Bombyx mori: one gene and its partners. The main gene of each other region encodes a partner of the protein of the gene in region 2 in a complex. Links are inferred from orthologs where the notes say so. Each region holds a gene or a part of one and is shown on either strand. Other genes may lie near its edges.

Region 1 (4,145 bases), on a different chromosome or scaffold from region 2:
TTTCTAGGATTGGAAGCATCAATAAGATATTTTATAATTTTTAACGACATCACTACAATAATTTCATTATCAATAAATAGCATACATACTTGCGGAGTTTCTGCTTCAGATGAGGAATAGGTAGATTGTGAAAGATTGCTAGATGTAGACATTACTAGTACAAAATACTACAAATCCTTTCCTCATAAATTCGCGTATTATGTGTATTAATACCTATCTATGTTAATCGCTACATAAAAGGAACCAACCGTATATTTAAACCTCTTTACAACACAAACGAATTTTAACTTTTGTACTAATTTGTACTTACAATACTTTTTTTATTATTATTTTAAGAGATTTTATGACCTGGTAACTAAGACCTTTAAGCCTTGACTTATTTAATTTTCATTGTTATTTATTTATATTTTTATGAAAAATGAAATGTGCAATAACTGTGGTTTATTAACTGTTTAGTATCTGTGAAAGTGCATAAATGTAGGAAAATGAAACAAAGCCGCTGAACGTAACTTCTGATAGGGTGGATGGACTAGCGGCTATAGCAATTAATTAAAACGTAAATTAAATACTTGAAAACATTGTGTTGACTTGTATAAGAGAAAATTTAATTCAGAATGACACCGCACATCAAAAGTAAAAGGAACATAATACAAATTCAAATATAATGCATCATAGACAATTATACGTGGACAGCATCACAACCTTCCAACAACTTCTCGTTATCTTCCAAAAAGTCCACTGAAAAAGTCTCAGTAAATGACCACCATTTTACTGAGTTTATACTTCATCCCATATCATCTCATCTCATTTCATTTTTTTCGTTTTCATTACATTTCATGCTATGTTTCATAATAATCAACTTCATTTCATTTCATAATATCATTTTCATATAAAAAGGTACGTATCATTAAAATTAAAAATAAGACTTGACCTAAAGGTCTTAGTTACGAGGTCATAAATTCGCCTAAAAAAAATTCTTTCTCTGATATGGTAGCGTTAAAGTTTAAACGTTTAACGCAACCTTGTTGAAAATCGCATTAGAAGTTTCACTTCAAAAATGCTATCTTTTCGAATCTGCACACTACTGCCACAATCTACATTTACGTGATAAAAAAGCCCGATTTTATAAATCAACCATGGAGTTAATAAGTACCTACAACACTAACTCTATGAAATCAACATTAGTAACTATTTATTAATAATCTGTGATCAACATTCCAACAGCTGTCAGTGCTGTCACCGTACACCAATCACTAATAAAACCGCGTTTCCGATCACAAGAATGAAATTATAGAAAAATATTGTCCAAATAATAAGTGTTAATAACTATGAATATTGCTGTACGGGCTATATTTCTTTTGACTGCCTAAATAGACAAAACAAAAGTATTATTTATTAGTCATTACATATATATGTACTATGAATTGTTAATGTTATAATATCTCAAAGCTGTAATTTAGTGAAAAAGATGTCATTGAAAAAGTACTTGAAAACAATGAAGGATGATGAAGATAATTTGGATATAGTATCACCGTGCTTCAAAATAAGTCCTGATGTGCAATTAAAAGAGGTTCCAACGAACGGTGAAGAATATTTACTTAAAGTCATAAAGGAGCGTAAAAACATTGCAGCAGTTACGAAATGCAACAAAGATTATTCAAAGTTTGCCGAAAATCAGTCTCAGTATGTGCATGAGGTCAGTGAAGTTCTGAAAAATGATTTTAAAAATGATTGATTAACAAAATTTACATTCATGTAACCATGATGCCAATGATTTTGAAACGAATTTCTGGTGTAATATCTGCATCTGATGTAACTATGGAAAAGGTTGGGTACATTTCCGCATTGTTCTAAATATCTGCACCAGTAGCTAAAGTTGTAAAACATTTTTAAAATCATTATCTGCATCAATCTAATTTTAATGTTTAGGTCACCTTTTTTCACCAAACCGAGTTTGATTTCAACTATCAAACCTGGTTCTATATGATATAATTAAAATAATAAATTTGTATTAATTAATTTTCAATACACAGAGTTAAGCTCACTTAACTGTGCAAAATGCAGCTGAGATGTCATTTTATACATAATTTTCATTATTGGCACTGATAAGAATAATTAAAGATTTTTAATGTGTACTAAATCAAGAATAATTAATTAATTGATGTCCCTTTTTTATGTTTATTAATATGACTGTACTAATCTTATTCATTCAGGCATAGTAGGTAGTACTAAAAATATATTTGTAAATTATAATTCAAAACATTCACAATAGTAATTTGTAAAATATAAGTAAAACAATAAATACACTGATATTTTATCTTAATAGATTCATACCTTGGGACATATTCATAAATGATTCATTCCTGATGCCCGAATACAGTCTTAAGATGTCTACACAAAATGTCTAAAATGTCTGCAAGATGTCTACACAAAAAATGGGCTACACAAAATTATTCAATGATCATGACCATAAAAGTCATTTTGTAAAAATAAAAAAGTTAATAATCAGCTCACAAAATTGTATATCCTGTTATTAATTTATGATCTGCACTATTCGTAGAAAGCAAACTGCAATTACAGCAGAATTAATTTATAGTTATTAGTCACTGATGGTTTTTGATGGGTGGTCTCAAGATCATTCGTTAAATCTGTGAAATAATACATAACAGATTTTAAGAATATAGTTTTAATAATTTGGTGGCTTAGTAATGTTATTGTAATTTGAATAGATGTCTAATGGAAATGTCTTTTTAGTTCCCGAGGCTATCAGTACCTGAGAAGTTAAAACCTACAATTGAGTGGCAAAACATGCAAGTAGCAGATTTCTCAGAAACTCGAATGTACATATCTCGTTTGCTGTCAAAAAGGAAAATATGGAAAAACAATATTAATATTATAGAAATAAAACCAACCTGTGTAATTGAATGGAAACAGTTCTTCAGTACCCATATTCCAACATTATCATGCGTGCTCGGATTACAACATGCATTACTAGACCAAGGTTTAGAAGTACTTACTGATATTATTAGTAGAACGAAACCTGGTAATACTATAGAACATAAAACAGGTAAGTCATTACTTTACACTGTACATGTTCAGAAGATGATTAAGAGCCGTTAATTAAATTTAAATGGATTTGAACTTCTTCATGTCATTCTCAATAACAAAGTTTGTGGATTTTATATTGAAGTTTTCTCTATCATCTTCCTATTGATTAAGTACAGCTCTTTTGTAAAGAGAAAACTTAACCTGTTTTGTTACTCTCAGCAAACCAAATTATTCATACAGCATACATTCTGCCACTATTCTTTATGTGTTCCATAATTTTGATTCGATCATAGCATTTTGTCTTTACTTTAACTTTATACAAAATTATACAAGATTTTGTAACAACAAGTGAGCTTTATATGAAGAGAATAAAATCAAGATAATAGTAAATTTGTAATTGGGGTAAGGATGATTAGTGAACGCTTTGTAAGGAAATCACATATCAGCTCTCCCAAAAATCCACTTTTAAAGCAGAGATTTCGTAACCACCCAACCTACCTGTCAAATTAATATATATCAATTTTTAAACTTATTTATAGAATACATTGTGTTTTACAAACCATTTTTTTTTAGTACAAATTGTTCAGATGCATACAGAAGAAGTTTTTATTGGGTGGCCTTTTCATTTTCAGGTCAATGGGTATATGCGTTTTTGGCCTGTACCCAACTACCTCTATTGTCTGATACAACAAGTATTCTAAGAAATTTAGCTCGAAAGTGTGCTGAAATAAGGTAAATATAATAACACCTATTGTTATTTACAGCAGGTGACCACAGCTGAATCATAAACAAATGTAACAAAGATTGTGAAAAGTGGCAGTGTGAAATTTTTCAATTATTTAACAAGGGCTTTTACTACCTATACAGGGTAGCTGGTAAGATCCGGGTGAGAGAAGCCTACAATCATGCTGTGGTGTGCAATTGGATAGGCCTATGTCCAGCAGTAAACTGCTATAGGTTGATGATGATGACAAGAAATTTGATTTTTCATTTTCTTATTTAAAAATGGTTGATTGCATCCACTTATGGAAATTATAATTACAGGTTTAGGCTAAACCCTGATGAAGAAAATGCTATTACTGCAGCAACACCTTTAA
Region 2 (2,979 bases):
AAATATACTGAAATCGCTTTCATTTATTTTCCTTTTCTTTAATACGGTAATGAAATAAAGAAATTTAATTGAATATGAAGTTCGTTAACATAAAATAAGCATGGCATATACAAAATTGCTGATTATATGATCATGACTTTGTATTTTAAAATTTCCTTAAGCGCCTTATTCACGATCCATCTTGCTGTACGTCCCGCCAAGGCCATGCACGATGCACGATGCATTTAGCGCTTTATTCACGATCCGTCACGGCTGTACGTCAGCTCAAGACCGCAGTGCTGGATGTATCAAGCGCGAACAGAATAAATCGAACGAATTAAATGAGGGTTTTAAGTTAAAATGCCAGCTGCTTTATCAAAACGCCAAAAATGGGAGTCCTTCTGATGTTGTCAGCAGCAGCAGAAGAGAGGCAAAAAATAGCAAGAGGTTTTGGATGATTTTTTTAAACGTGCAGAGTATACTCAAATAATTAATATCATTTTTTACGCACGCTATCAATCCTTGCAGCTTCCCCTAAAATGGGCCTAAAAATTGTAATACGTTTATTATTTTTGGTTTATTCATATAGTCTGCGCTTGAGACATTCCACAAAAATGTGGAACTTATAACTTTCAATAAATCTTGAAAGGGTTTCACGATCCATTTTGACGTGCAGTCTCCTTTCGAAACTCTTCGTTAACTTTAATTTCAGTATTACCACCGTCTTTTTACGATTTCATCAATGTCAGTGTCGAGTTAAAAACTGACATTTAGTGGCCATAATTGTTTGTTGAAATAATACTTTTTGGCGGGAACGCGAGGAGTGAAGTTGTGTGATTTGTTTTATTTTGTCTATTTATTTAGTGTTTCTTCAGGTTGAAATGTGTAATAACGGTGGTTTATTAACTGTGTATTATCTGTGAAAGTGTACAAATGTGGGAAAATGAAACAAAGCCGCTGGATGTAACTTCTCGGGATCCTCCAAAAAGTCCACTGAAAAGATCTCAGTAAATGACCACCATTTTACTGAGATTATATTATATTTCATCCCATATCATCTCATTTCATTTTATTTCATCCCAGTCGATTAATGTCCCAAATTAATCATTTTCATTTCACTCCATATTATCATTTTTCATAAAATTAAGAATATAAATTAAAATAAGACATGACTTACAAGTCTTAGTTACCAGGTCACAAAATTCCTTACAAAAAATTGTTGAATTAAAAAGCAGAGTCACCATAGACAAAATAAAGCGTCGACTTAGCGTGTGTACGATAGTTTTGCTGTAATTGTAATCTTTTTCACTCAATTTCTCAGTTCACAAGCCCATAAAATAATACAAAATGTAAGTATTAATATGATTTACGTAGTTTTAACAATATATTTAACATATTATCTGCTTAGCCGGTAATGGTCAACAATAACTCTAATGTTAACCTTATTATAGGACGTCAACAACTAAGCCACGCTCTGAAATGACCCTAGAAGAGCTATCTAAAATCGAAGAGGAAGAGTTTAGTACCGGACCTCTTTCCGTGCTCACGCAGTCAGTAAAGAACAACACACAAGTTCTGATAAATTGCCGTAACAATAAGAAACTCCTGGGTAGAGTGAAGGCTTTCGACCGGCATTGTAACATGGTATTGGAGAATGTTAAGGAAATGTGGACTGAGGTACCGAGAACTGGCAAAGGAAAGAAGGTAAACAGATGTTACTGTATTTCAGTTCAATTGATTCAGAAATTTGAGGTTATGTATTGGAAATAGGAACCACTCCCAAGCGCTCATGTATAAAAGTGCTACAGCTCCAACTTGAAAAGTACACAATAAGACATGATGTCGCGTATTTTAGGCCAATATTAGCGGAGATAAAATACAAACCACTGGAAATTCCCAAGATGACAATTATGTGGATATGAAACATTCTGTGTTAGCTCATTTCATTAAAACTCTTCAAATTCAAAATACGTATAACTTCTGGTTTTATTTTCAGGGCAAAGCTGTAAACAAGGACAAATTCATCTCCAAAATGTTCCTCCGCGGTGATTCTGTGATCTTAGTACTAAGGAATCCTCTTGCTACAGCTGCAGGGAAGTAATGCAGTAATTAGTTTAAGTATTAATGAATAAAATATTCAGGAAATGAATAGCTTTACTGGTTCATTCCTTAAACTGTAATAATACTTTTACAAAATTGGAAACTGTGTTAGTTCTATGATTCTGCAACTATATGTAATAAATAAACAAACTCGATATTTTAATATATTGAAATTGTATCAAGTTCACATATTGTAAGATAAAGCTAAAAACGATCAGTTATTATAATGATGCATTAAAAGAGTCTCACCAGTATTGTTGTTAATATTAGCATAAAATAACTTCATATTAGTGGCTGAACATACCAAAATTGAAAAAAAGATACTTACTTTTGGTGCAAGTAGTAACTAACAATTTTGTAAAATATAGATGCTTTAACATTTTTAAAGAAACATGGCAAAATTACAATGGTCAAGAAGTCCACAAACCTGTCAATAAGTTTATAATTTCTATAATAAACCAAAGTGTAAAAGTGTGTTTTTAATATGATTTTTTTCATAGCCCCTTATTAATTTGTGCAAATTAGATCTGATGTACATCATGGGATTAAGCTGTGCAGTCCAGTCCAATATTTTGTTAACATGTTGGTTTCATGACAGACACTATGAGTCCACAGCATACTTTCCCCTAGGGTAAAAAAATGTAGTGTTTTTTCAAAAATATTCTCAAGAAATTACTCAAAAGTAATGAGTGAGGTATGGAAACAGTGACTAAGTATTGTTTTCTGAGATATTTCAAATGGCAGACAGTGTCGTCATAGACCTAAGTAAATGGTTGTTACAGGGTGTCCACCATTCCACTGGACTAAACATGATTTCTAGTCTGGTGTTCAATGTGGTAATAAAATTAGAACTGAATATATGCAAAGGTCTTCACAATAAGGGAAGAACTTCATGGAACT
Region 3 (2,937 bases), on a different chromosome or scaffold from region 2:
CAGTAATAGTACTTCTGCGGTAGTAGCTAATTCAATTTTGTATAAATTCAGGACGAATATGTGATAATACGTACTAGGCATGAGTAAAACCTTGTTCTGCTTCTTAGACTGCAGTTGTTGTTTTTTGGCCTTCCCGCTGAACGGGGTCTTCCGACGTGCTTGGGGCATGACGAGTAACTCTGTTAATTATGGACAATGTTATTATGAAGTAAACATCTTTACAACTGTTGAACTGCAAGTACAGTTTTAATATTTTTCTGGGTATTTTAATTATTTTATTGAATATCACGTCATAGTATTTTACCATTATACTTTTTCTCGCTCTGATGACCAGATTTGAAGATACAAAAGTAACGCTTACAGGTGTAAGTGTAAACTCAAAAAATGTAGGTACTGGGTAATGTATTATTTATCAAATATACTAAACTAATTGATCGTAATAAGCGATTAAGAATCTGATTTTCAAAAACCGTAACCGATTTTTAACCGTAATTAAATCAAGAATTAATAAACTTAACTAATTAATAAAGAGAAAAACTAAAATTTGGAACACGAGGTCTCCTTGGAATATTATAATTGTACAGAAATAGTTTCAAACTTACGTTAGACTCAAAACAAGAAATCTATTCCTAATTTCTCACTGAAGGGCTTGAACTTATTATCTTTTTACCTATTTAATTGATTTTCGTGTGAATATGAAAATTATTCTACCGACCGGCTAACAATTGAAAACATTTTTTTTCACAGGATTGACAATTGACAGCTGACCGACAAATTAAAGGCATTGAACTCTGTTTTTTTTTTCAAATTTAGGATATTTTCTAAGGGATTTTATGACCTAGTAACTAAAACTTTTAGGTCAAATCTTATTTTAATTTATTTAATTCTTATTTTTACGAAAAATGATAATATAGAGTGAAATGAAATGAAGATGAAATGAAGTGAGATGAAATTAAATGAAATGAGATGAGATGATGTAGGATGAAATATAATCTCAGTAAAATGGTGGACATTTACTAAGACTTTTCAATTGGCTCTTTGGACGATCCCAACAAGCTACGTCTAGCGGATTTGTTTCAATTTCCCACACTTGTGCACTTTCACAGATATTATACAGTTAAACCTGAAGAAACAATAAATAGACAAAATAAAACAAATCACACAACTTCACTCCCCGCGTTCCCGCCAAAAAGTAAAAATTTATGATAATTTTGACAGCTCACAGTAAGGATGCTAAAGTCATTGACTTTGGATTATCGAACATAGATTTATTCTCATGGAACTAGAAATTGATAGTTGCATGGACAGTAAGCTGTATGGTCAAATTAAAACAAAAAAAGTTACATTACATTTAACTATTAAGTTCAGCAACAAAACCCTTCAACACCAGTTTCGATACGTTCTTTTTTTTCATCATTTATCCTATTGAATGCAATTTTTGTAGACGGGTTCACCTTTAGAATAAATTGAAACCAGGAATGAGATTTCTAATTATTTATTACTAATACAATGGTGTGCAACGTAAATTGTTTTATTATTATTCATCATCATCACAAGATTCACTACTACTAGAACTGTCCCTTAACTCTCCAGTTGGACTCGTCTACTTGTAAATTCTTGTTCACAAACTTCATTACATTACCATTGAAGCAATTTTCACTTCTTCTCAAATATTAAGTGTATTATCTGTGCGTCTTCTGACAACTGAGCACTGTCAGTGTCAACCTAAAGTCCTAAAGTAACCTAAAAAAACAAGAAGTTGACAATACACCAAACAACGCGAAAGTAGGAAAATAAACTTCTAATACAAATAAATAATAAACTTCAAAACGAAGTTGATCATTACATCAAAATGTTGCCGCTATCTTTGTTACGGACAGCGCAGAACCACCCTATGCTTGTCGAATTGAAAAATGGCGAAACTTACAATGGTCATCTCGTAAGCTGCGATAATTGGATGAACATTAATTTACGTGAAGTTATTTGCACGTCGAGAGACGGCGACAAGTTCTGGAGGATGCCGGAATGTTATATACGTGGTAGTACGATCAAATACTTGAGAATACCGGACGAGGTCATCGACATGGTGAAGGAGGAGACACAGGTTAAAGCGCGCGGTCGTAACGAGGTTTCCAAGGGACGCGGGCAAAACATGAGGACCGGTGGCCGTGGTGGTAGCCGAGGCGCATTCGGTAACCGCGGCAGAGCACCTCCACTAGCCCGTGGCGGCGGGAACCCGCGACCACAGAACAAAAATAAAAATAAAATGTAAGATAAGTTTTTTAATAAATTAAGTTATTTGGCTAAGGAATAGTTTTGTTTCATTTAAAGTTCAAAATTCCTCCATACATGCTGGTGCAAAGCAACCATATATTTGACCAAATCCAAGATTATTTATTAGTCATAATCCTGATGTAGAATTCATTGAAAATCAATAATATCTAAATAATTTGGAAACTGCAGATGCACAGGTAGTTATGAATTCATCAATCCATTAATATAAAATATTTAAGCTACCCATATCTCTGTTAAATCTAAAATGGGATACAACTTTATTATTTCTTGATATTTTAAGAAAATACATTTTTTTGTTTTATATCTTTAATTGGTTTTCACACTATTCAATTCGTGTCAATATATAAAAAAAATCAAAGTATACTGAAATCATTTATTTACAAAAAACGCTTAAAGTAATAATACTATTGTATAATATGGCAATACCCATTAATGAAATGGTAAAAAACAGAGTAAAAAAAAACAGTGTAAAAGCAATATTTTAATGATGATCCTTGAAACTTGATACAGATAGAGTTATCACATTTGAATAGAACACTTACTTAATTTCTAAGCTGCTAAGAGATGAGGAGTTCCATAGTCAGGATGTTGATCCTGATTATCACAGTTGACAGACCATCAGACTATCTCATCAGAGTTGTC

What was found.
Region 1: small nuclear ribonucleoprotein sm d2 (region 2) and gem-associated protein 2 share a complex: the UniProt entries of both Homo sapiens proteins name them as parts of the SMN-Sm complex. The link is inferred for Bombyx mori from reciprocal best matches to the Homo sapiens genes SNRPD2 and GEMIN2.
Region 3: small nuclear ribonucleoprotein sm d2 (region 2) and U6 snRNA-associated Sm-like protein LSm4 share a complex: the UniProt entries of both Homo sapiens proteins name them as parts of the U4/U6-U5 tri-snRNP complex. The link is inferred for Bombyx mori from reciprocal best matches to the Homo sapiens genes SNRPD2 and LSM4.

What each region holds. Positions count from the first base shown.
Region 1 is NC_085111.1:13,069,734-13,073,878, forward strand, and holds the start of gem-associated protein 2, read left to right. Parts: upstream 1-1,219; 5' UTR 1,220-1,468; coding exon 1,469-1,696; intron 1,697-2,754; coding exon 2,755-3,067; intron 3,068-3,680; coding exon 3,681-3,780; intron 3,781-4,092; coding exon 4,093-4,145. UniProt on the Homo sapiens protein: The SMN complex catalyzes the assembly of small nuclear ribonucleoproteins (snRNPs), the building blocks of the spliceosome, and thereby plays an important role in the splicing of cellular pre-mRNAs.
Region 2 is NC_085132.1:3,761,950-3,764,928, reverse strand, and holds small nuclear ribonucleoprotein sm d2, read left to right. Parts: upstream 1-1,250; 5' UTR 1,251-1,326; coding exon 1,327-1,328; intron 1,329-1,430; coding exon 1,431-1,683; intron 1,684-1,975; coding exon 1,976-2,080; 3' UTR 2,081-2,331; downstream 2,332-2,979. UniProt on the Homo sapiens protein: Plays a role in pre-mRNA splicing as a core component of the spliceosomal U1, U2, U4 and U5 small nuclear ribonucleoproteins (snRNPs), the building blocks of the spliceosome.
Region 3 is NC_085117.1:3,991,983-3,994,919, forward strand, and holds U6 snRNA-associated Sm-like protein LSm4, read left to right. Parts: upstream 1-1,485; 5' UTR 1,486-1,852; coding exon 1,853-2,272; 3' UTR 2,273-2,311; downstream 2,312-2,937. Other genes in the region: guanine nucleotide-binding protein-like 1, read right to left, coding at 75-168. UniProt on the Homo sapiens protein: Plays a role in pre-mRNA splicing as component of the U4/U6-U5 tri-snRNP complex that is involved in spliceosome assembly, and as component of the precatalytic spliceosome (spliceosome B complex).